Rattus norvegicus: one gene and its partners. The protein of the gene in region 6 purifies or fractionates together with the protein of the main gene of each other region. This does not show direct contact. Links are inferred from orthologs where the notes say so. Each region holds a gene or a part of one and is shown on either strand. Other genes may lie near its edges.

Evidence for each region.
Region 1: the proteins of Bag2 (region 6) and Dnajb1 purify together in Homo sapiens (affinity purification with mass spectrometry; 4 studies listed by BioGRID and IntAct, with this or other methods). This does not show direct contact. The link is inferred for Rattus norvegicus from reciprocal best matches to the Homo sapiens genes BAG2 and DNAJB1.
Region 2: the proteins of Bag2 (region 6) and Cep170 purify together in Homo sapiens (affinity purification with mass spectrometry; 3 studies listed by BioGRID and IntAct, with this or other methods). This does not show direct contact. The link is inferred for Rattus norvegicus from reciprocal best matches to the Homo sapiens genes BAG2 and CEP170.
Region 3: the proteins of Bag2 (region 6) and Edrf1 purify together in Homo sapiens (affinity purification with mass spectrometry; 3 studies listed by BioGRID and IntAct, with this or other methods). This does not show direct contact. The link is inferred for Rattus norvegicus from reciprocal best matches to the Homo sapiens genes BAG2 and EDRF1.
Region 4: the proteins of Bag2 (region 6) and Hsf2 purify together in Homo sapiens (affinity purification with mass spectrometry; 4 studies listed by BioGRID and IntAct, with this or other methods). This does not show direct contact. The link is inferred for Rattus norvegicus from reciprocal best matches to the Homo sapiens genes BAG2 and HSF2.
Region 5: the proteins of Bag2 (region 6) and Ambra1 purify together in Homo sapiens (affinity purification with mass spectrometry; 3 studies listed by BioGRID, with this or other methods). This does not show direct contact. The link is inferred for Rattus norvegicus from reciprocal best matches to the Homo sapiens genes BAG2 and AMBRA1.
Region 7: the proteins of Bag2 (region 6) and Dnajb4 purify together in Homo sapiens (affinity purification with mass spectrometry; 4 studies listed by BioGRID and IntAct, with this or other methods). This does not show direct contact. The link is inferred for Rattus norvegicus from reciprocal best matches to the Homo sapiens genes BAG2 and DNAJB4.

What each region holds. Positions count from the first base shown.
Region 1 is NC_086037.1:41,428,342-41,432,515, reverse strand, and holds the start of Dnajb1 (dnaJ homolog subfamily B member 1), read left to right. Parts: upstream 1-1,374; 5' UTR 1,375-1,474; coding exon 1,475-1,685; coding exon of another isoform or gene 1,686-1,857; intron 1,858-2,960; coding exon 2,961-3,541; intron 3,542-3,764; coding exon 3,765-3,995; 3' UTR 3,996-4,174. UniProt on the Homo sapiens protein: Interacts with HSP70 and can stimulate its ATPase activity. Stimulates the association between HSC70 and HIP. Negatively regulates heat shock-induced HSF1 transcriptional activity during the attenuation and recovery phase period of the heat shock response.
Region 2 is NC_086031.1:91,203,650-91,205,990, reverse strand, and holds part of Cep170 (centrosomal protein of 170 kDa), read left to right. Parts: intron 1-237; coding exon 238-331; intron 332-964; coding exon 965-1,016; intron 1,017-1,884; coding exon 1,885-2,186; 3' UTR 2,187-2,341.
Region 3 is NC_086019.1:197,905,911-197,909,193, reverse strand, and holds the end of Edrf1 (erythroid differentiation-related factor 1), read right to left. Parts: intron 2,131-3,283; coding exon 1,956-2,130; 3' UTR 501-1,955; downstream 1-500. UniProt on the Homo sapiens protein: Transcription factor involved in erythroid differentiation. Involved in transcriptional activation of the globin gene.
Region 4 is NC_086038.1:37,364,894-37,369,100, reverse strand, and holds the start of Hsf2 (heat shock factor protein 2), read right to left. Parts: upstream 2,801-4,207; 5' UTR 2,624-2,800; coding exon 2,531-2,623; intron 2,195-2,530; exon of another isoform or gene 2,052-2,194; intron 1-2,051. UniProt on the Homo sapiens protein: DNA-binding protein that specifically binds heat shock promoter elements (HSE) and activates transcription. In higher eukaryotes, HSF is unable to bind to the HSE unless the cells are heat shocked.
Region 5 is NC_086021.1:98,155,372-98,159,425, forward strand, and holds the start of Ambra1 (activating molecule in BECN1-regulated autophagy protein 1), read left to right. Parts: upstream 1-1,254; 5' UTR 1,255-1,500; intron 1,501-1,811; exon of another isoform or gene 1,812-1,969; intron 1,970-4,054. UniProt on the Homo sapiens protein: Substrate-recognition component of a DCX (DDB1-CUL4-X-box) E3 ubiquitin-protein ligase complex involved in cell cycle control and autophagy.
Region 6 is NC_086027.1:43,473,838-43,477,937, forward strand, and holds the start of Bag2 (BAG family molecular chaperone regulator 2), read right to left. Parts: upstream 2,801-4,100; 5' UTR 2,781-2,800; coding exon 2,668-2,780; intron 1-2,667. UniProt on the Homo sapiens protein: Co-chaperone for HSP70 and HSC70 chaperone proteins. Acts as a nucleotide-exchange factor (NEF) promoting the release of ADP from the HSP70 and HSC70 proteins thereby triggering client/substrate protein release.
Region 7 is NC_086020.1:243,789,796-243,792,419, forward strand, and holds the end of Dnajb4 (dnaJ homolog subfamily B member 4), read right to left. Parts: intron 2,592-2,624; coding exon 2,023-2,591; intron 802-2,022; coding exon 568-801; 3' UTR 501-567; downstream 1-500. UniProt on the Homo sapiens protein: Probable chaperone. Stimulates ATP hydrolysis and the folding of unfolded proteins mediated by HSPA1A/B (in vitro).

The DNA of each region.
Region 1 (4,174 bases), on a different chromosome or scaffold from region 6:
TATACTTTTGATTTCTATTCACCCATTTTGAAGTCAGGCTGGCCTCACATGGGAGTTCCTCCTATAGCAGCATCCTGGCACGGGGATTACAGGAACAAGTCACTGTGCCAGGATAGGCTCTTCATATCTCGGTATCTTTAAAGACACGTTCTCTCCAAGTGACTGGTTCGGGACACCCTCTCTGATAAGCTAATGGGTTTCCTAGCCCCAAATCCATCTTGGGGGAAGGAGGACTCAACTGGTTCAGCTTTCACAGGGTCAGTACGGTCAGGGAAATCAAAACACACACAGCTATACCATCATGGGATGGCTAAGGTTGTTTTTCTCAGGGGTGCCTAAGGCAAGGGTTATCAGACTCTCATGCTGCAGGGCTGCCAGAAAGTGAGTGTCAACAGTTGTCCACTAAACAAGATGATTAATCATCCCTTTCAAGAACACCTCCTTTGTACCTTGTCTGTCTACGGCACTTTCACAAATGCTGGATAATGTCAACTTAACCATAATACAGCGACCATTCCCATTATACAGATGAGCACACTGAGACCAGAATGGCTACTTTACCAGCACAAAGTCACACAGCCAGAAAGTGCTAGGATTACTGTCAGCCTTTCATGCACTGTCTTCCAGGCAATTCCCTGCAAGAACCACCACTGACTCCTCCAGCTTCCAATATCAGAAGCTCTGTCCTCTTCCTCACTCAGCAGTGTCCTTGACCGTATCATCCCAGGCTTACGAAGCCAAAGCAAAAAACATCTATGTCAAAGTATTTGGAAATATTTACGAAGCACCTAGTGGATCTTAAAAAGATTTCACTCTCTGCAAAGGAAGTGACACCAAGAACGCCAAGAAACCAGCTAATTCCAATAGGAATTAGTAGGAAGTAAAATAACCCAGCCCGACTGGGGCAATCCCAAGGCAGACCAGCCTCACCTCGCTTTACAGTAACGGCCTGTACGGGAAGACAAAGGGTTACGGGCAGAAGAGGGCGGGGTGCGTATTTTTATCCCTGGGTTGAAGCAGGAAGACTTGGAGTTACACATCAGGTAGCTACCATAAGTCACGCATCAGAACCGCCCAGCGGCGATCACCTGGGGAAAGGGTGCGGCCATCCGGGAGGGCCGCCTCTGTAGCCCGCCCCCTCGCGTCATCAGGGAGAGCGGGTCGCGATTGGCTGGATCCGCCGCGAAGGCGGGACCTCGGCAGCCGGCGCGCGCGTCCGAGGAAGGCGTTGACCAGGGGAGAGAGAGAAGGGGCGTGGCCCCGCGCGGAAAGCCGTTGGCCGCCGGGTCCCACCCCAGATGAGCTGCGTCACGCAGCGGGCTGCAGCGATTGGCCGGTGTGGGGCGACGCATCGGGAGGGGCGGAAGGTTCTGGAGGGCTGGCGGGATCTGGAAGCTTCCGCCGGACGGGTATATAGAGTCCGGGACGGGGCAGCAGCGGAGCCGGAGGCGGCGACAGCTGGGCGGCGGTGGCCATGGGCAAGGACTACTACCAGACGCTGGGCCTGGCCCGCGGCGCGTCCGACGACGAGATCAAGCGGGCCTACCGCCGCCAGGCGCTGCGCTACCACCCGGACAAGAACAAGGAGCCCGGCGCCGAGGAGAAGTTCAAGGAGATCGCCGAGGCCTACGACGTGCTCAGCGACCCGCGCAAGCGCGAGATTTTCGACCGCTATGGAGAGGAAGGTACGCGTGCGCGCGGCCCGGGTGACCCGCCGTTTGACAGGCGAGGAAACCGAGGCACTCGGGGCCTCTCTGAGGCTTCGGCGGGGGACAGATGGTCCGGGGATCCCGCGGCGGCGCTGCCTCCTCCACCTTCTCTCTAATCGGCGGCCTCAGACGGGAGGAGGAGCTCTGGGTGCGCCGCTAGCACAGAAGCTTCTAGCACGTCTGCCGCAGCCCCTCCCGGCCGGCCGCCTGCACAGCGCCGGAATGCTGCAGACGGGGGCGGGGGGCGGCGGTCGCGATGGGAATGAAAATTGCCCAAGTGTCGATTCCCTTTCCCAGCCGCAAGCTCGGTGCTTACCCAAAGTTGAACCTTTCTGGTACTAGTGCGTAGGAACTTCTTTGTAAGGTGTTACAGCATAGCTGGGAGGATGGAGCAGTCACGTCAACCTGGTGGCACCAACATCTAGAGACCTTTCTACTGAATTGTTGTCACGAAGTTAAACGGGGTGGTTTGTTTCCTGTTCCTGTTGCCATTGGGAGTTAAAGACTTGAGATTCGTCCTTGACTTAAGTGGAAAAGCTTTTAAAAATATACACGTAACTCCTTCCCCTCACCCCCTCCCACACACACACTATAGTTTCTGCTGCTTTTTTACTAAGACCAAAACTTGTTGAGAGCAGTGTACTGGGGCTCACACCTCCACTTGGGAGGCTGAATTAGGAACGTTGTGAATTTGCTGCAAATCTGAGCTACAGGGTAAGCTGTTTCCAAAGGAAGCAGACGTTGTGACAATCCCCCCCACCCCGGGGGTGTCTGAGTCAGAAAGATTGCCTTGAGGCTAATCTAGACTACACAGCAAGTTCTTGTGCTACTTAGAATTGACAGTAATACATGCAAGGGAACAAGATGTTACCATTTACTTGAGACAGGACCTCACTGTTGCTGGAACTTTTATTTTTTAATTTATTTGAGTGTGTACCTCCGTGCATCATCACACGCTTCTAGAGAAGGCATTGAAGTTCCCGGAACTAGAGTTAGACCATGGTCTGCTGCTTTGTGGGTGTTGGAAATTGAACATAGTTCCTTTGCAAGTGCTCTGAGCCATTTCTCCAGCATCTCATGTTAGAGCTCTGGCTTTCTGGAACTTGCAGAGATCAGTCTGCTCCTGTCTTGAGAGCTAGGGTTCCAAGATCTTTGTTTCAAGGGCTTTGTGTTTTATCTGTGTGTAGAAGTGTTGGGATGAAGGGTCCTGACTCTCCTGCAGTAACCCTGAGTTGCCGTTTTGTTTTCCAGGCCTGAAGGGTGGTGGCCCCAGTGGCGGGAGCAGTGGTGGTGCTAATGGTACCTCTTTCAGCTACACATTCCATGGAGACCCTCATGCTATGTTTGCTGAGTTCTTCGGTGGCAGGAATCCCTTTGATACCTTTTTTGGGCAGCGCAACGGGGAAGAAGGCATGGACATCGATGACCCGTTCTCTAGCTTTCCGATGGGTATGGGCGGCTTCACCAATATGAACTTTGGACGTTCCCGCCCTACTCAAGAGCCCACCCGGAAGAAGCAAGATCCCCCAGTCACCCACGACCTTCGGGTCTCCCTTGAAGAGATCTACAGCGGCTGTACCAAGAAGATGAAAATCTCCCACAAGCGGCTGAACCCTGATGGAAAGAGCATTCGAAATGAAGATAAGATCCTGACCATCGAAGTGAAGAGGGGCTGGAAAGAAGGGACCAAAATCACCTTTCCCAAGGAAGGGGACCAGACCTCGAACAACATTCCAGCTGACATCGTCTTTGTTTTAAAGGACAAGCCACACAATATCTTCAAGAGAGATGGTTCTGATGTCATTTATCCAGCCAGGATTAGCCTTCGGGAGGTAAGGTGCTGGGTGTGGGGAGGAGGAATCATGAAGAGAGATGGGTACTGAGGATAACAGGCTGTGGGGGTGGCACTCTGTTTCTGACAGCATGGGGAGCTTTGTAGTGGGGTCTCGGAAGGCCTGGTCTGGTGGACCTGACCCTTCTCTGGATGGTTCTGGTCTGGAGGGGTCAAGCTTCCTAAGCCAGCTGCTACCTGACACTGTCTTTTTGCTTCCCTAGGCTCTCTGTGGTTGCACTGTGAATGTTCCTACTCTGGACGGCAGGACCATTCCTGTTGTATTCAAAGATGTCATCAGGCCTGGCATGCGGAGGAAAGTTCCTGGAGAAGGCCTCCCCCTCCCCAAAACACCTGAGAAACGTGGAGACCTTGTTATCGAATTTGAAGTCATCTTCCCTGATAGGATCCCCATCTCATCCAGAACCATCCTGGAGCAGGTTCTTCCCATATAGCTGCCTGCATTCCTCAAGGACTGAGCCAGGGACCTTTCCAGAGCTGCAGATTTCCAGACCGTTCCACTGGTTGCATACTGCGGGAGGGCCCAGGGAGGGCTTTTGCTCTGCCGAATGTTTTCCACAGAATATATTACAATCTTTCAAAGTCGCGCACTAGACTACAGTGGTTTTTCGAG
Region 2 (2,341 bases), on a different chromosome or scaffold from region 6:
TTTTTAGTTAAAATAAGATAAACAGTAAAGAGCTTTAGGCATGTATGGGTATCTAGTGAGTTATGGTTTTAACAGATTTTCACATGCTTGACCCAAAAGTGTTCACCAGTTAAGTCTGAGTTCATTGAATAGTTATTTTTCTTTATATAGTTTTGAAATTATACATTAACTATGTGTAATTTTTTTGTATCATCAACAAAACCATGAATTTAAAATGCTTGTGTTTTTTGACTGTAGAATATTGTTTAAAGACAAAGACCGGAACTGGGATGACATAGAAAACAAGCTAAGAGCTGAAAGCGAAGTCCCGATTGTGAAAACCTCCAGCATGGTATGGTGGTTTTCAAGATTCAAACATTTCATCAGCGTGGCTTCATTTGTTGGGGAAAGCATAGTTTTGAATATTTGTTAGTTTACATTCTAAAAGACTGTATAAATGCATAGATTCGGTAGTGTTTCATCCAGTGGTGTTTAAAGTATCTCTTGGTTCAAGGCCATAGAGAGCATTAAGGAGGATCGTGTGTTGATTAACTACTGTGATGTATCTTGTTCATATCATAGCTCTACATTATAAAGAAGCACCTTTAACTTTAGAACTTAATGTTAATTGACATATCATTTCTATTTTAAAAGCACAGTTTTATCAGATTTTTCTCCTTATGTTGATGGTTTCACTTTATATACTTTTCAAAAAACAAAAAAACTCAAAGGCACAGTTTTAAACTATTGCAGAGTTGATCAGAACAGATGTTTCAAAAACTGTTCTTTCCTTATTAGTATATTGTCTTGAAATGTTATTGTTGTTGTTGAAAGGCGTCATTATTAAAGATTATAAGTTGGGTCTTGCTTCCTGGGTGTCTTCTGTGTAGCTACTAATGCAGTGCCATAGAGACAGTGAGCTGCATTACTTGTAGTCTGAGAATGTTGTAACGTAGTAAGCTAATCTGGGTGTCTTTTCCTGCAGGAGATTTCTTCTATTTTACAGGAGCTGAAAAGAGTGGAAAAACAGTTGCAAGGTAAATTTACTTCTAAATTAGGTAATGATGCTTGCAGATAGGGTGTTCTGGTAGACGCCTATAATTCCAGCATTCAGGAGTCAGAGACAGAAGGATTGAGGTTGAGACCAGCTCAGTGTATTCCATTTCTGAAAATATATTTCTTATATTCTTAGTTATTGAAGCAGTATTTAACTAAATATATCAACCAGTACTTATAACAGTATAGAGTTGAATATATCTCAGTTATTCATAAAAGGAAAGTTTTATAGCTCTATATAAAGGACTGGAGATGTGTCTCAGTCCTCGAGTATCTGCCTAGCGTGTGTGAGGCCCTGGCTTCTTTCCTAGTACCATCAAAGTGACTAGATAGACAGTTCCCGGATAAAGTCTGTGTTGTTTCACATTTGATGCGGAGTGTTATATGCAGAATGGTCTCCACCTCACCGTGGAGCTGGACCTCTTGGTCCTCCTCCCTCCACCTCTGAGACCATCACCCCTGGCATAAAGAGAACATATTGTGAACATTTGTTGGTATTTGTATTTTATAAAATCTGGCTGTTTAACACATAACCAGTGTTTTCAGTACCCCTCTGTGATAGTAAAAGCAAGTTCAGAACTCTCTTGGCCTGCTTTCCCTTCCAGTCACTGTTCACTGTCACCTAAAGTGCCGATAGGGACTGTGGGGACCTAGGAGAACCTCAGGTCTGTACAGTCTACAGTGTAGACTTAACCACTGGTTATTGAATCAGGTTAAGTAAGATCTAGCTTAGTTAACTAGAGGTTACTAGCTTACTTTAGCTAAAGTCCCTTCTAATGATAAGCAGTATTCATATCCACTTCTTACTGAAAACAGAACTACATCTTTTTATCTTTTTATCTCCTTCAGTGATAAATGCCATGATTGACCCAGATGGAACTTTGGAGGCTCTTAACAACATGGGATTTCCCAATGCTATCCTGCCATCTCCACCAAAACAGAAGTCCAGTCCTGTTAACAACCACAGCAGCCCTAGTCAGACGCCAGCACTTTGCCCAGCAGAAGCTAGGGCCCTGCACCCTGCTGCAGCAGCAGCAGCAGCCGCCGCCTCCACTGAGTTTGAGAATGCTGAATCTGAGGCTGATTTCAGCATCCATTTCAATAGGTTTAATCCTGATGGGGAAGAAGAAGATGTTACAGTACACGAATGACGTTCCCTGGTTTGTTAGAGACATTACCCATGGAGTGACTAGGGGTATTGGAAGCAGCATGATGTTCACATACAAAACAAGAGAGCTTGGTCAGCAACAATCTTGTTATCTTTGTCTTCTTGATTTATTTATTTATTTTTACCTCTAATGTATCA
Region 3 (3,283 bases), on a different chromosome or scaffold from region 6:
ACAACAGAGCTCTGGAAGCTAGCTGTCTAACTGCTGTCTAACTGCAATGTCCCTACTCTAGGACAGGCACTAACCTTTTTTTTTTTTTTTTTTGAGCTGGGGACCAAACCCAGGGCCTTGCGCTTGCTAGGCAAGCCTTCTACCACTGAGCTAAATCCCCAACCTCAGGTGCTAACCCTTTAACTTCCACACAATATGGCTTAAGAATTTTTGTTTTTTCAAGACAGTGCTTTTCTGTGTAACCCTGGCTGTCCTGGAACTCTCTTTCTAGACCAGGCTGGCCTTGAACTCAAGAGATCTGCCTGCCTTTGCCTCCCACCACCCGCTGGCTTAAATTCTTAACATACAAGAGTCAATGTCATATATGATGATGATATATGAATAATGAAACTAACTGAAAAAGGTTCAGAAACCCGAGTAATCAGGCCAGAGTCTTCTAAAGGAACAGCTAAAACACATTTACTTCAGGAAACTTTAATTAAAACCAACACAAGTTATTACAACACATTTGAAAAGTATCTTTTATTTCTCCTGCAGAAATTTTCATGTTATTGCTATGACAAGGGAAAGAGCTAGGATTTCTACTTCCTTGCTTAAAATCCATTTTCCACCATTCAGCTAAGGGGAGGGGCTTGAAGACAAGTAGTCTTAACACCCCAGCTTGTTTCTAGGGAAGCAGGGGAAATCCTGTTGAGCTCATCTGCTCCAGAGGTACTATGTTTCAGTGGAAGCAGCCAGAGGGTTCTCCCGTGGAGAAAGGGCTGTTACTGTGTACACTCGATGCAAGGCAAAGGACACAGCAGTCCTGAAATGGGACTGATGAGCAGGCTCAAAGCTTTGCAGTTTAACCAAAGCTTTAAGGGCTGCAATGATTAATTCTTGTAAACAGATGCAAATTTGCTCCAATGACAGTGTAAACCAAACAAGGAACTAGACAAATAGTGAGAGAATCTGCCTTGCTACAATGGAGACCTGCTTGCTCCAGTGACAGAAACGCCTGCAAATGGGGCTGGTGCGGGAGGGGATGCAATAGTGGCCAGACACCAGAGTATCACCCAAGCAGAAGAGTCTGCCTGATGCAAATGCTGCACCTCCTTCAAACTATTAGTTACAGCCTTACAGCCCCACATGCAGTAGGCTTTGGACAAGATCTCCAGAGCAGCAAGGCACAGCAGAATGTTCAAGGAGCATGAATGTGTGAGAGACCTTTGCCCTGAACATTAGGATCTATGTACTTTGTAAAGTTTTGAAATCATAAGCAAGCAGATCAAATCACAGCAGTGTGAAGAATGCAAGTGGGAACTACCAAGGTATTTTAAATAAATAGCTTATTTATTCAAAATAGTTCTCTTACCTTATTCACAGTTTCAAGTTTAAAATGAGAAAGTGATAGTACCTAGTCTTTATCAATGTCACATACAGTCAAAGAAAAGTGAGGCCTTTCAGAACATGCACTGAAAGGAGACCTGCACAACTTTCAGTCTTCGAAACCTCCTGTGCAACAGTTTGGAAAGGGTACACTTCTGTCACTCACAAGGAAACACAGATGTGTACTGTTTCTACACGCCATTTGAACGTGAAATCACTTGAATAAGAGTTCTCTTGGCCAGAGTAACATTTTATCTAAAATAATCTCATCTTATGTCCAAGTGTTTTAATATCCTTCAAGAATATCTCCAAGTCTAAGCACATCACAGGAGGTCTGTTATCACTAAGGAACCAAGTACTTCTCGAGGAAATACATTCAGAAAGCTTTTGATTCCATTATGGTTTCTCACCTTTACAGGAAGAAACCAAACCACCCCACATCCTCTGCCTGCCACGGGAAGCGAGTACCCACTGTGGACCTGATTAAATGGCATCTCCTTATATTTAATAAGTCTCAGCACCGAGTGGACAGAACAGCTCCAGGATGGGAAGGCACTGACAAGACAGTCCTCCGAGACAACTTCAGGTCAGGGGACAGCACTGCCACTCGATCCACTGCTACCAGATGCAAGCTGCTCCAGCAGACAGATGACAACTTCAATTCTCTCCAACAGAGTGGAGTTTCTGTTGGCAGTTGCTCTCAAAAGCTGGGAGTAAATCTGCTTGTTGGTCTGGAGGGCTGCATCATCTTCCGTGTTACTGCTGAGGTTAAAACAGACAGGTGAAGGGAAGAGAGGGCAGGTGGGGCTGCACACAGCAGGCACTTCCTAGAGCAGCTGACTTACCTATGGCTGCTGAGTAAAGCAAAGAACGGCCCCTGCCTTAGAAGCAGTGAGCAGCCACGAAACATGGTCAAAGAATACGTCACAGAGTGGGAGGTGGGGCTGATCAGGCATGGAGAGGCTGTGTGGCCATTCTTCTACTCAGCAGTGCCAATCACAACTGACAGCTGAGCTCTGCTCACAGACTCCTGACTCGACTTCTTACACCTTGTGTAGCTCATGCCTTTAACCTACTGTCACCCCTGAGCTGGTTACTATTACAGTCTCCACATGTCAAACAGAAGGTTTTCCTCTTAAGACAATTAACTGGTTTACCTTATCTACCATTTTACTCAACTAAATACTTACTGTTATCTGACTAAGGACCATCCATGATGTTAACTAATTTCTTCTCTGTACTACAGGACAGGGCTCCATGATCCTCAGATGTTTTATAGCTTTTCATCTCAAATTCTAGAGAAATGTCAAGAGGCCCCACTCAGCTAGAGCAGTGAATGCTCAAGGGCATGATAAGAACAGCTCAATACTTAATCCAAAGTGGAGTAAGTCCCCGGCAACTTAATAAAAACAAAGTGTATTGTGTCCTGTAGCACCTACACAGTTGTCATACCATGAAGCACACTCAACAGCCTGAAAATAAAAATTTTCAACAAGAAAATGAATTCTAATTTTTCTTACAGCTCACTTTAATTTCTGGGAACCTAAGTAAGTTAAGCTTTTCAGTTATTAAGCCCACTTTCTTATTTTGCCTCAGGCTAAGGGGAAAAAATAGCAATCAAAATAAACTACTAATGTTCCTTTCTGTTAAGGTGATGCTCTGATTTCCTTTTCTCTTAAACAACTCAACTAGGTCAGCTTTTTTCAACAATAAACCTGTCAGCTGTTCTCACCTAAACACGAATGAAACACAATAAACCTCGGTAACCATAGTGATCTGCTTCAAACCTGCAGTGTCACGTTTCTTTTGTATAATAAATCTGAAAGCACAGATAGGCTCATAGGACATTTGGCCTGCATGAAAACTTTAGATTAAAAATTTCTTCAACAAGCCAGGTGTGGTGGCTCACATCTTT
Region 4 (4,207 bases), on a different chromosome or scaffold from region 6:
TAGGACTATTAAGTCAAGCTTTTCAGAATACAGGTGAGGTTTCTCTCCTTGGTTTAGACTCAAGCTAAAGGAGTGTATGATTTTTTACCACCGTAGAGGATAGGGGTTTCGTAAAAGTTTGATTAGTCCCTAGAGCTTCTGCTTTTAAAAGGCCTTAAAGTGATAGCCACTGAGTCAGTGTAAATGCTAAAATTCACCTCTATAATTCAACACAAATTTAAAGGAAGCTAGGCACACAAACAGAAACTTTTAGAAGATCACAGTAGGGCTGGAGAGAAAGTTCAGGAGTTTAGAGAGAGTCACTGCTCAGAGAGAACCCCAGATTGGTTCCTACCACTCATAACAGCTCAAAGTCCAAGAATTGGAAGTCTGGATCCCTCTTCTGCCCTCATTCAAATATGCATATGCACACAATAGACAAGGACACGATTAAAAATAAAATCTTTTAAAAAAGAGCCAAAAAATGGGGGAGGGGGACACATTTTGGTTTTCTATCAACATCAACTTAAAATTGTACCTTTCAGTACTGGCATTCCAAATACTATTCCATCTGGTATCTCATTACAATATGACTTTGTCATCTACAAATGGTTTCGACCACATTCATAGCTATCTTAGGACACCTGTTACTCCATTCCAATCAAACCCATTTACATTTTCTAACAGTTTTAGTGACTCAAACATTAAGACACCAATTATGTCTCTAGAATCAATACCCCATTGAGTTTACTCTTTGACTCTCTTATTGGTGTACTGGATATGGGCAGATGAAAATATAAACTGAGACTTAATACGATAAGTAAAAGTAATTAAGTAGATTTTTCGTCTGCAATTAATAAGATTTCACACTTATGCACTAGTTTAAATTCTCCAGAGTCTGTACTGATCAAAAACAAAGTTATTAAAATGTTTTGGCTAATTTGAAGTTATCAGGCCGCTTATACAAATCTGTTTAATTAGAAACAATTACCAGTACATTCGTGTGGAACTTTTAGACAGTACAAATAAACAGCCTTTTGCAAGCTCAATAAGTTCAATAAACTCAGCTTGGTTGGGACAGAATATACTTCAGTCCGGTTTCTAATGTTAAAAGAGAGCTGAGAAGCAGTCCGGACTGATCGTGCCTTGTCAACCTTTAATCCTTCTGACTGACGAAAAGCATGAGCAGTCTGTTTATTTTAAGTTCATGCTGGTAGCTGCCTTTCTTATTTTCACTTCTTTGTACCAATGTATCAAATTAGTCAGTCAACTGCTTAGTCTACACAACCAGCAGGGGGTGGGGCACCCGTGTGACAATACTCAGGGAAATTAAACCCTAGAAAGAAATTTTTAAAAATTGGCACGAATACTCAGCAAAATTCAGCGAGATAATTGTCCAAATGTCAGGTATATTCTATTGCTGTTACCTATGAAAAGCACGCAAGGCTGAAAACTAGTTTTAACAACAGAAAGAACACAAAAGAAACGCGGGAAGATAACATTTATTTGACACATAGCCAGGTATTTCCCACTTACTCATCTCAAAAACCGTGAACATGAAAATACCCCGAATAAGTGATCAACTCCAGTAAGAGGAGCCGATCCCCTTCATGAAGTGATTGGAACAATCCAAGAATTGCGCGTCTAGTAAAGCAAAGGCACAAGTGATGTAAATAATCACTCTGCAAAGAATCTTTGTGTGGAACTGGGCGGGGGAGGGGAGGGTCCTTGGGTCACCTAGGCAACACATCCATCTAACCCACAACTTAGACCACGCAAGATACCGGACTTGATTAAGATCATCTTTATTTATAAAGAGAATCTGGATCTAACTGATCAAGGCAACCACCTACCACTCTGCCAGCAACTATTCTTTGAAATTTAACGACTCGTTTTTAACTCCCTGCCGCTAAGTTACTAAGCATAATCTACAGGCACTTTTACTACTAAATTTTTTTAAAAAAGATTAAGCAAATGACCCAGCCTCCAAACAATAACTGGGAAATTTCTATGTTAAAACTACATAAATGAACTACATAAATGAACTACATGAATAAAACTAGAAAGCTCACGGGAAGAGCAGTCTGAGTCCGCACATTTTCCCTTTACCATCATAAAAGATCCCAGACCAGGGGACAAGTAATCACCGCGGAGGTGATTTCTTTAGATAAGCCCGGTGCTCGCCCCCTAGCCAGCTCGCCAGTCTAGGGTTCCGCAACCTCCGTGCCCCGCGGCGAGCAGACGGCCGAGGATGAGTGTGCAGAACGCGCGGCTGGGGCCGGTTCCGAGCTCCCGGGGCCGGCGGGACCGTTACCAGGGCGCCCCTCCCCCACGGCGCGCGGCCCGAGGCGAACGGAGCCTGCCGGGCCCGGCTCGCCGCGCACACAAAGCCGGGGGTCCACGCGTGGTGGGGAGGCCGCGCGCCGCCGCAGGCCGCGGGAGCGGCTGAGCCCAGCCCAGCCCAACCCAGTCCAGTCGAGTCGAGCCGAGTCGAGCCGAGCCGAGCCGGTTCGACAAGGGAGACCCGAGGCCACCGCGTCCCCGAACGTACCTGACTCCAGGTGATGAACTCGTTAGTGTGGGTTTCCTCTACAAGCGTCCACAGCTTGCTGAGGAAAGCCGGCACGTTGGAACTCTGCTTCATTGTTAGCCGGGCGCAGGGATTCCGAATTCTACTCCCGAACGCGGAGGTAGCGGCGGCGAAGGCGTTAGCAGCAGCGGCGGCGACAGCAGCAGCTGCTCCCGGGAACGCACACCACGCAGGCGCGGCGGGTCCCGGGCTCCGCCCCCTCGGCGCCGCGGGGCGCGCGGTGAAGGCGGGGAGACCCCGCGGCCACACGTGATGGACAAGACTTCGCGCTCCACCCCTGCGCTCTGCTCCCGCGCCCGGTCTCTGCGAGTCCAATCCGAGGCTTCGAGTGCACCACAGAGCAAAACGATTGGCAGCTGCCGAGAGGAGGGGTGGGTCCAGGAGTGGTTCAGCCTTCTCTGCTACCTTTTAGGCAGGATACTGTTTTGGGAATGATATTGGGTCCAGAGAAAAACCTTGTTTTGTGGACTCATGTGGAAAGGGTTTGGGTACACCGGCCATGTCTGGCAGAGTGCAGAAACGCCCAAGGGCAGTTGACTCATAAGTTTGACTGGTGAAGAGTAATTTGCTCCAGTCTAAAGGAAGGAATACAGCACATGGGGCAGGGAGCAAGATATGCTAGGCCCCTGGTTGAAACTATCTTAAAGATAAACGAGCCTTTTTATACATTTTTTCCACTGGCAGAAGATGACTCTTAAGACACTTTTATCAAAACCTAAAGCATGAATAATAAAACTCGCTGTTTGCAAAGTACTTGCTATTATATATACTATTAGAATTCAGCAGGCATCAGGTACCTGCCAGAAACCCAGTTCAAAAGCCACTAGTATAATTTTAGAGTATCTGAGTCAAAATAGTTGTTCTGCATGTACCTTATGCAGGTTTTCTTTGGCAAAGTGTGATTTGGAACAGCTTCTTTAGCGCAATGCCCCATTTCTTCATTGACTTTCTACCTATAAAGAGTAGCTGTAATAATGTGGATCTCTGAGAAAAAGATTTTTTGATCTTAGTGTCCTGAACCTGTAAGTTGAGCACTCTGGAGGCTGAGGTAGAAGTGTGGAGCCGTGGAGGCCAACCTGGGTTAAATAGTGAGCTCCAGGTAATCCTGGGCTAATGGCAAGACACCCCACCCCACCCCATACATATATTGTACATGTATATGTAAGCATATACTGAACTTAGTCATATACAGCACTGTTTGGTACATAAACAGCATTTGCTACATATACAGCAACCTAAAGAGGAAGCTTCAAAGGGTCTGATTCAGGTTGGTACAAATTCTATTCAACAAATTACCCAAAGCTAATCGGAACCAACTCTGTAACCAGATTCCCAAAGTGGGTTGGCTAGAAGTTTCCAGCTACATCCCAATGTGATGATGTGTTGATTTACCTCAGTTTGGGACTCTTTTCTGTCCCAGAGCCTCAGAGATAAAATGTCAGTGAAAGTCCTGCTATAGTTACCTGACAAAGTAAAGCCCTTTGAAAGTGGTTCTTCTTCTGGTCCATTACTGTATGCTTACAAATATGTTTTTGAACCACAAATCTGAACAGCCACTTCCAGACTGGAAGACACCCAGTGGCCTTCGTGCCCTCCAGAATAAGTCCTGCCCTGTTAAAATGGCATAGAAGATCTTTT
Region 5 (4,054 bases), on a different chromosome or scaffold from region 6:
GTCGGTAAATGCCTGTAATTCCAACAAGTGGGAGGCAGAGGGAGGAAGATAGGGTTTGAAGTAATATGGATTACCTAGTGAGATTCTGTTAAAAACAAACAAACAAACAAACAAACAAAAACCCCTCAGGCATGGTTACTTATAATTCCAGGACTCGGAGGCAAAAGGATGGCTGTGAGCTTGAGCTCAGTTTGGGCTACATAGTGAGTTCCAAGCAAGCCAGGCTACAGAGTGTGAGCCCCCACCTCAACCTCTCACAATCCCTCAGGCACACTCCAAATTTGGAACATGAAGACAAGCACATCAGAGTTTCAAAGTCATTCTTGGCTACATAGAGTTCAAGACCAGTGTGTGGGTTACATGAAATCCTGTCTCTAAAAACTAATTAGTTAACTAACTAGCTACTTAGCTAATTAAAAGCACATTTGTGGACTGTGGCTTTAGATCTTTGGAAGAAAAAAAAAAGAGAGAGAGAGAAGTGAGAAAAAGAAAAGAACAGGCTGGGAGGTTGTGGTGCTCACCTTTAATCCCAGCACTCCAGAGGCAGAGGCAGGCAGATCTGGGTGAGCTGGAGGCCAGCCTGGTCTACAGAACCAGTTCCAGGATAGCCAAGGGTACACAGAGAAACCTTGTCTGGCAAAACAAACTAAGTCAAATCATAAAAATTTAAAAACAAGGTACAGGAACTTTCCCCTCCCACCTTAAGCTGTTCTATGTTCTCCTGGATTGAACTGGGGCATTCATAGAGATTATTCCGTTTTCTTCAGCTCTGAGAGGAAATCAAGAATCAAAAGAAGCGAAGTCATTTGTTCAACTGGGACAAGTAGTGTAAGAAGTCTGTAAGTGTAGGGCAATCGTTGAACTATTAAGGAGAGCTTTATTCTAGTATGATTTATCTTCAATCAACGTGTTCACAAAAGACTAATTCCTTTTTCACTTAAGACAAGGTCTCATATAGTCCAGGTTGGCCTTGCTCTTAACTGAGTATGACTTTGAACTCCATATCCTCCAAATGCCTCCTCTTCCTAAATTCCTGGGATTACAACCGTGCTTGCTGTCTCCGAAATTTAGTTCTCTAAATTACTTCAACACTCGGTCACCAAGAGAAAATGGCAGAAACCCAGCCTACTCTATGCTTTAGCTTATGATCTGAATTTGTTTATTTATGCCTAGGAAGGCAGCGGGACTTGCAGCAGGAGCTGAGCAATGTTTCGGCACTCGGCTGCAGTTCCTTGAACGATTGCTTGGGCGCTCTTCCTTTGATGTCTGGGCGTTCGTGTGTTCGATGATCTTTTGCAGCGTCTTCTAGGTTGATGTCTCCAGAGCGGCGGCGGCGGTGCCAGGTCCTGGACTGAGTTATCCGGGAGACCCCGGGCTCTGGCCGCTTTCTTCCGCTGGTCGGTCGAGCGGGCCCCTCGCTTCCTTCAGCCTCTCCCCGCCTTCCGTCCGTGGCTCCGTGCGCTCGTTGGCCTTCCGGCCAAGCTCTCACTCGCCTCGCAGGTAGGCCCGGGAGGAGCCTGGGAGGCCCGGTCCGGCATCCTTCCGCCGAAGGCAGGAGGAGACCTTGGCGCCGGCCGGTGGGCGAGCGCGCGGCCCGTCGGGGCGCGCGTCGTGAAGGGGGTTGCGCCTGGGGGCGCGGCCGGAGGGCTGCCCGGAACTGAGGGAGAAGCCGGAAGGAGGGAGAGATGCTGAAGCTATTGGCCGGGTTCTGTAGAGAGGGGATGTCTGGTCCTGGACTCGTGTCGTCACCCCTAGATTGTGGGAGCTTGGCTCTCTTAGACCCAATTCTCTCTCTCCTTTCCTGCAACTCATGTTCCGGACGTCATTCCTCAGTTGCACTGGTGACCCACGCTGAGGCTAGCCTCGGAGTGCCCTTTGAGTTGGTGGAGGCTCTTGAAACTAGGCCCTCCAGCTCCTTGGAACGAAATGTCAGGTTCTATTCTTTTGGAGTAGGGAAACTGAGGCTGAGGTATGGGACCTGACTTTTCCCTATGACCCCGACAGAGCATTAAATATGCTGTTTGTTTTTGTCTTTAACAGTTGACCCTTCTCTTTCTCCCATTTTACTGGTCACTTTTAACTTAACAGTGATTTCTCATTTGACTACTTGGAACTCTTCTTTCTTAAGAAACATTTATTGTGTTACTGGAGGCTTCAGACATTAAGGGAGCAAGGAATATTTTTTGACTGGATTTGTCTTTTCGAAATTTGTATTTTAGCAAAAGTAGTAAGGATAGTTTGTTTTTGTTTTCTCATAAATAATTTTGTTTACTTCCACTTTACTTCTGATTAATACTGATTCCACTCTTCAGCTTACTCTAACTCTTTTCTGCTATGGGATTAAGTACTTAGTGCAAGATGGAAGATGGTTAAGACTTTGAACTTAGGTTCTTGGGAAGGTCTTTTCTAGGAGGTATCTAGAGGGAGTCTAAGGAGACTCTTTTGAAACTTTTTTTTTTTGTATTTGGTTAGTAGTTTAGTCATTTTATTAAGAGTTCAAAAGTCTGTGTAGAAACTATTCAAACTTAGTTAAATTGAAAATGAATCTTTTTGTGAATTTCACTGTTTCTCTTTTCTTTCTCAAGGTCTTAAGGTCAAGTGTTTTTGTTAATTCTGTTTGATCAAGTGTCATGATCCTAGTCATTCTAGGTTGGATAAGTTTCCACAGTATGTAAAATTCATAGGAGAATGACTTTAAGGTCGTAAGAAATTCTGTTTCTACACAGTTTTAAGATGCTTTATGAACTTTGGAAAGATGATAGAATTTTACATTGTTTCTCTAATTTTTTCTTTAATGTATGTGTAAGGTTAGTGAGGCTTATTATTCTTTCTCTTCTTTAGTAGTGCTGGGAATTTTGAACCCATGGCCACATACACATGCTCTGTCACAGAGATCTACCCCTGAGATTGGCAAGATTTAAATGAAGGTGATAGATTGAATGATTGGTTGATTGCCTGTTTGTGTGTGTGTCTGCACATGGGCATGCCATACATGCATGTGTTTGTCAGAGGACAATTTTCAGGAGTCTGTTCTCTCCTCCTAGTCTATAGTGAACTCAGGTTATCTGGCTTGACAGTAATCCCATTTTATTTTCTGAGCCATTTTGATGGTCCATGAAAATCAAATCTTTTGATCATAAGCAATTTCTTAGTTATAAGGACCTTGGTACTTTTTATAAGTGTGTAGATTCTTGATTGGGTAATTAGGCCAAAATTATATCTTCTTTGAAGAGAACTTTTATTATGGAAAAAATATACCAAAGCAAAGAAAGTAGAGGTAGAAGTAACATTGCCTGCTGTGACTTTATAGTTGTAAGTGTGTCTTAGTGACTCCCAATGAGTGACAGATAAGAAATGGTGATTGCTGTATATGTCATGAAGAAAAAGGTTAGAAACATTTTGAATGTTTCTGTAAGAAAGAACCAGCAGAAGTTTAAGTTGAATTGAGACAGATAAACTTGGTGGTGGGTGAGGTTATAGGAATGAGACTCTTAAGCTTCTCTACTTTTCTTTATAATTCATACAAGTTTTGCTTGATTAATTTTCGTATATTTTTTTGGTTTGTGTATGGTTGTTTTGGAGTTTTTGAGGCAGAGTGGACCTCTTGTGTTCCAGGCCAGCTTTAAATCGACTGTGCAGCTGAGGATGACCTTGAGCTCTTTGATCTTCCTGCCCCTACCTCAAGTACTGGATTACCAGTGTGAACCACTACTTGATGCTATATCTTGGGAATTACCAAAGTCAATTTGGGCCGTCTCCTGGCATTTCAGAAATGTTCACATTATGACTGAATCATTCTGTATTTTGCTAAGATGGTTCCTGTGGATAAGTAAGAGATATAAGCTTCAAATAGCTGTGGCTGTACATACTTTAAATTCCAACACCCCAGAGACCGATGTAGGAAGATTGTGAGTTCTAGGTCAGCCAGAGTTAACATCCTGAGACTGCCTCAAGAAACAAAAACAACAACAAAAATGAACACAAGACAAAAAAAAGACGAAAGCCTCTGAATGTTTTCTGGATTGTGGCTGGACCAGAGTTACTGAAATAAACT
Region 6 (4,100 bases):
TCCTTCCCACCAAGTCCCATCACAGCCCATCGTTCTCACTGCTAAAAGATAATAACGCCCTCCTCCCTCGGGGGTTTTATAAGATTCAAATGACAGTGTGCACGAAAAGCGTTCCTTCTAAATTACAGACTGTTAACGACAAATTAAATATGGTGTCAACTTGCTTTGTGGGTCCTGGAACACTGGCACATGCTAACAGGAACCTTAAACAGTCAGAAACCAAAGCAGGGGGTGGCCCGTTTCCCTGGCCCCTGCTGGCTGAGTGAACTGGGAAGGAGCTGCTCACCACATGATCGGTTTTGGGAGATGTGTAAGCAGCCGATCTCCCAGTCCTACCAACCATTATACCTCCTTGGCCAATGTCCAAAGCCCAGCCCCTGACCCACAGCTCCTAGAAGCTACTCAATAACAGACATGCTCCAGGTCTTCAATGTTTACTGACTCAAACGCTAAATTGATTTTCTTCTCTTTTAGTAAAATCATATTCATTCATAGGTCAGACGGACAGTTTGAAAAGTGATATTCAAGACCAGGACACATGGTGTTGACCTGAGCAGCCGGTCTTCCCGTGTTCACATGTGAAGTGCTCTGCTCTGGACTGAAGCATGTTGTGTATATCTGAGCTTCAACTTCTCATCTGCGCAATACAGATAACGGTAACTCCCCCAGAGACACGAGGCCTAGCCTACAGACTGATGCTAACATGGATGATTTATAAACTAGGATAACCACTAAAGAGTAAGGCGTTCGGCCTCGACAAGCGCAGAATCCCCATAGAGCTGGTCATGTAAATCAGGAAAGGACGGGATTATCTTTTTAGAGAAAGCACTGCAGGAGAGGAGGCGTAGTAATAAAATATTGTTTTAATGTAAGATGGTGTCGTTAATATCATAAGCCATTAGAAACAAACGGCATCTGTTACCGATTTATAAAACATTTTAAAGCATTTCGGACACCCCCCGAGGTCAGTTCATCCTGCAGGACATAAAGCCTTTGATGTGGTTTCAGTCCACAGAACCAGTTCAACTGAATGGAAGATGCACACTGGCTACCAACCAATGACTTACACTACCCCATCCACTGCTTTTCCCACACATGGGCACTAAGAAAGTTGGAGGGACGTCACAGGAGCGTCATCTTTCTCTACCCATGTTTGAAAAGCCTAATTTTAAAGTGTCCTGCTCTGTGACACTGTCCAGGTGGCTTCTAAAAAGGGCCCCCAAACCTTAAAAGGCAGCATCATCCCTCCCCCCATTTCTTTCACCTTCTGACAAACTTACTTCTAAGTGCGCATCACATTTTTAAAGAGAAACAAGACTTACAGAAATCTGCGCTTACTGGTAAAGGCCTTGAACCACTAAACACACAGTAAGAAACCCCCTTCAGCGCAACTGTTAATAAGTAACATAATTTAATCTCCTATGGGCCGGGAATTGAGATTCCTTTGACGTAGTCAGACATTAGAATGTAACACTAAGCAACCCCCAGACTTTCAAGAGGCCCCCAGGAGGAGAGGAGGGACTCAGCACATGGCCGGCAGGGATTAACTCAAGTTTCTGAACAATGACTCAGCTTGAGGAAGAGTGACAACTTCCTGAACCCTTCAAGGAAAAAAAAAATCGGAGCAGTTGAGAATGTACTGTCAAAGTTCGGAGCCTACCTCACAGAGGGAAACACTCCTCTCTTTTCAGAGGGGCTTTAATGCTGACCCCCTCCCTTCTCAGCATAGGTCCCTTTGTCTCCCTCCGGTTTGGGGGACATAGGGTTCAGGCTTCTCTTGTGGTTGCTACTCCAGAGACTAAAAGTTTCTCACCTTCTGGTTCTTTTCTCCTAATAGTAAAAATAGCGAACACCTCAATTGTAACAAACACTGCTTGTATTTTTCTGTGCAAACATACTGTGTTTGGTGGATGCACGGAGAGAGATGAAGACGCACAAGACTCTTAAGATTTTGGCTCATATTTCTGCTTATGCAGAACCTGGAGAAAACTAGGGAACAACATGTGTCAGGGTGTCTCCATACGATTTTCATGGAACAGCGCCTGCACACAATCAAAACTTGCACAACTTTGGAGACCTTAACGTTCCCACCAGATACACCGGGGCTCATGTTGCTAAAGCCAAGTATTCACAGCATCTGCTAGTAGTATTCACGATTTAGAAATTTTACTACAAGGCCGTCCCCGTGATAGAATCTCAGGGAGAGTGTGACGCCTGCCTTTGGTGTTTTCAGACCTGCGACTGGCACTTCCCAAGTGTCAGCTGTGTCTTCTAAACGCACAACATACACGGACAGACTGCAGAGGGCACTGCACGTGGTTAAGAGAAGGAAGGATGGTATCCAACTTCGGTATCTCGCGCGGCCCCTTTTGAGTCTGATTCTCGCTGGTCCCCCGGAGGGGCAGTCCTGGGTTTTTTCTTTTTTAAAACTTACTCTTGTGTTACTATGAAGTGATCTGGGGCAAAGAAACTTATTACAGGGGAGGGGGGAAGGACCACACCAACCTGCTGCCTGCCCCCTGGAAGCGGGAAAGTTAAAGGCAGAGGGGGACCGCGCCGAAGGATCTGGAAGTTCTGCAAGCCGCACTGGCTCGCCGCGCTGCCGGCCGGGGGAGGGGAGCCCACCCGGAGCGCGCCCCCGCCCGCGCGCGCCCCCGCCGCCCTCACCTGAGCTCCAGCTGGTCCAGGCTCTCCAGCAGGCGGCTGGAGCGGTCGGCCATGGAGGACGAGCGGCAGAAGCGGCCCTCGTGGGCCTTGGCGCTGATCTTCGCCTGGGCCATGAGCTCCGGGGGTCCTCGGCGTCCGCGGGTAGCAGTGGCGCGGGCCGCACGTCGCCGTCACCGCAGGCGCCGCTGACGCGGACGGCACCGCCCCCACCTCCCAGGCTCCCCACCCCCGAGGCCGCGCGGCCAAACAAGGGCAGGCGCGGGCGCAGCCGCCCGCACGCCTGGGTGGGGGACCCTGCCCCGGGGCGCCGAGGGCCCACGCCGTTCCTCCCAGCACCCACGATTCACAGCAAGGACGTAGTGGGTGCTGCCCGTGACGTGGGGAGAGCCGGAGACAATTCAGGACGCCCTAAAGGGCAGTCTCTACTTGCCCGACCTGTCGGGTGACCAGGCGGGCTCCGGAGAGTCCAGGGAAAGCCTGGACCACAGGCTCCAAATAAGGAGAAGCCAAGTGCATCTGTGTTGTCTTGCCTTTCCAATGAAAGGATTATTACTTTCACACATAACTTGTTTAAATCCTCTGCGAATGATATTCGGTAGGCTCATGTGTCAGAAGCTGTAGAGGTCAGCAGGGCTGAAGTACAAAGCCGCGTCCACTTAAAGTCGTGTTTTGCTCTCTCAATGCACAGGATACAGAAATGCACAGGGAAACAAAGTTCATTTACTTCCTTCACTCAGAACTCAAAGCCATTAGATCACTGAACAGAGACAAGCCCCTTAAGTACGACTGGCTTCTAGTCCCACCCCTCCACCCCCCACCCCATCCTTATCCTGAACTCATCTTAATACTAATGAGCGGTGGATTATCTTGGCTTCATTAAACACGGTCATCTCACGACACGACCGAGAAATCTGAACATTTTGTGGACGTCTTGGAAGTCTGAGCTTGGGCAAGTCTCAGGTCTAATGCTCCGCTGGAGGCTGAGACAGAGTTGTGTGAATTAGGCCAGAGTGAATTCAAGGCTAGGCTGGGAAGCTTCAGCAAGCGCCTGTGTCAAAAGAAAAATAAAAGGGGCTGCAGACACAGCTCTGCGGTAGAGTGTCTGCCTCTGTGCTAGGTTGGCAACTAAGCCAGGCAGATGTGGTTGTTTGAATTCCCCCTCCCTGTACTCTCTGTCCTCATCACCAGGGAGGACTTAGGTGAGGCCTCGCTGGAGGAAGTGTATCCCTATGGGCAGGTTTGAAAAGATTCAAGCTATTCCTAGTGTCTCTCTGCCTCGACTTGGGTTTGAGATGTGAGTGCTCAGGGCATCTCTGTGGCCATTATAGACTCAGACCCTCTGTATCTAAGTTCAATTAAATGCTTTATTTTACAGGTTGCCTTGGTCATGATGTTTTATCACAGCAGGAGGAAAGTAACTAAAGTAACAAGCA
Region 7 (2,624 bases), on a different chromosome or scaffold from region 6:
GCTACAGCATCCTTGAGAGGTCACAATAGTAAAGCATCAATGCATTCTGGTGCCAGCCCAACACAGCGGTTCTGGATGTGACCCAGACTGCATTTCTGATGACTTTGGCTTTTATTCTCCTCCACATATGTCACATACAGTTAAGGATTTTAATTTCTATTAAGACAGCCTATCACACTGATCATTTAAAGATACACACACACACACACACACACAGAGAAAGAGAGAGAGAGAGAGAGAGAGAGAGAGAGAGAGAGAGAGAGTGTGTACTTGGATGATCTAGTACTTTACTAGAAGTGTATCTATAGACCACAAAACCAACTTTTACTTATAAATGAAATACTGAAAATTTCTGATTTGGGAGAAATGAAATATAATACAGTGAATGACCTTCATCTCTACTGTAAAAATCCACTTTTGCCTATTTGAACCGTCTCTATTCATGCAATTTAATGAGCCCTCAGAAGAGTCTACACATCTTTATACAGAATTCACATCAGTCAAACTGCCAGTACTTTTATATTTTCAGTGTCTTATCAAAATATGGATAGCAAGGTTCTTCTCATTCTATGAGGCAGGGAGATGTTTCCTAAGGATCTCTTTGGATGCTGCAGAAATGACGTCTGGGAAGGACACATCAAATTCTATCAGTAGGTCGCCACGTTGGTCTGGGTTTTTTGGAAATGGCAGCCCATAGCCAATAATTCTCCTCCTCATCCCAGGCTTCACGATGTCAGTGACTGACATAGGTATGTTTCTTCCATCCATTGTTGGCACATTAATTGAGCAGCCACACAATGCCTAAAGTGGACCAAATAAAATGAAGTTATTAATAAACTTTCAAACTAAAAAATATAAGATTGTGCTAGGTAATAAAGGGTAATAACACGAAGGTAAAATTTTAACTTCAAAAGGATTACGATAGTTATTAAACCTTTTCTATTCTAAAAAATCTGTTCAAGAGGAGCATAATCCGAGATGTTACCAGAGACAGCCAAGAGAGGACAGAGGGAAAAAGGAGAAGTGAAGGGCATCTTCCACACTGGCCTAGGATGGGAATAGTCAGGGTGCAGAAAACTGAACAGGAGGAGCGGGAGGACTTTAGAACTGAACTGAACAAAGCAGGAGCAAAACCTATTCCAGAAGACCTTGGGCTATCTACTGGCTGCCATACAGTCCCAGCTGAACCACACAGGAACCATGAGCCAAGACTTCACGCTCAGAAATGCACAAGGAACTCAGAAATACAGAGATCAGCAGGAAGAGCAGGGCAAAGCAGAGCACGAAGGTGGACAGAGGTCGCTGTCACAGAAATGGCACAGATCATCTGCTTCGCCTGGGACTACAAAGTGCCTACACTAAACAAGGACCGCTCTGTAGCAGCACTGGGACAAAGGGAAAGCCAGGAGCCATCACACAGTGTGGCTGACACAAGAGGAAATAAACAAAGCAATGACAGCAAACTCAGGAATGGCAAATGTGTCTGGGGTAAGAGCCAGACTCTACCTTCACACAGTTTGGACTCTGTGGGAGGAGTATACTGAGACGGTTAAGAATGCACACAGGGGCATGACCCCTTTGAGAAGTGGTGCAGAGAGCTCAGGGACTTTACCAAGGGGTGGTAGTGTGCACCATGTCTAAGTCCATGCTTGCTATGGTTTAATGCCTGTTATATAAATTGGACTCCAAACCACTCACTTCAGAACCAATGTACTAGTGGACTTCAGTGGGGGATTGGCAATGCAGATCTCAGACCACAACCTAAAACTAGAGTTAACCCAACACTGGCCATGAAGTATCTACTCAAGCTTACACTGAAAAACTGGCATTTAAATGGTTAAGATCAGTAACTAAACCTCGAGCCTCTGATGGCATCCTTGAGAGTAATAGCAGCTCTTCCTAGGGAGTCATTATGAGGAAGAAGATGCAGAGCAGGACAGAAGGCAGCTCCTGCCCACAGCCCCCTAAGGTACTCAGCAGTGCTCATCTCTGGCCTTAGAGTCACAGATCTTACCGACTTACCTCCCGTAAACTAATTTTAGCAGTATAAACTATATTCGATCCATCTCTCTTAAATTTGGGATGTTCTTTGTCTTTAATAATAAAAACAATGTCTGCTGGGATGCTATTTGGTGTTTCATCACCTTCCCTTGGGAAAGTAATTTTGGTGCCTTCTTTCCACCCTTTCTTTATTTCAATGGTGAGAATTTTATCCTCAGATCTGTAACTCCTTCCATCAGGGTTTAATCTCTTTCGAGAAATCTTCATCCGTTTGGTGCAGCCACTGTATATTTCTTCAAGCGAGACTTTGAGTTCATGAATAATGGGAGGGTCTTGCTTGAGACGGGAGGGCCCCACGGAATTCCTGTCTCTTGGATATCCATTCATGCTAAAGCCAAAGGCACTGAAGGGGTCGCCATCTATCTCCATCTCTTCAGAGTCTCGGCCTCCACCCATCCGTCTCCCGAAGAAAATTTCAAAGGGGTTGGCACCTCCAAAGAAGGCTGCAAAGGTCGCATGCGGATCTCCGTGGAACGTGTACCTGAAGGTGCCTCCTTGTCCGTCAGTGCCGCCAGCTCCACCCTTCAGGCCTGGTGAAGAGACACGCGTGATTAGGAAAACAG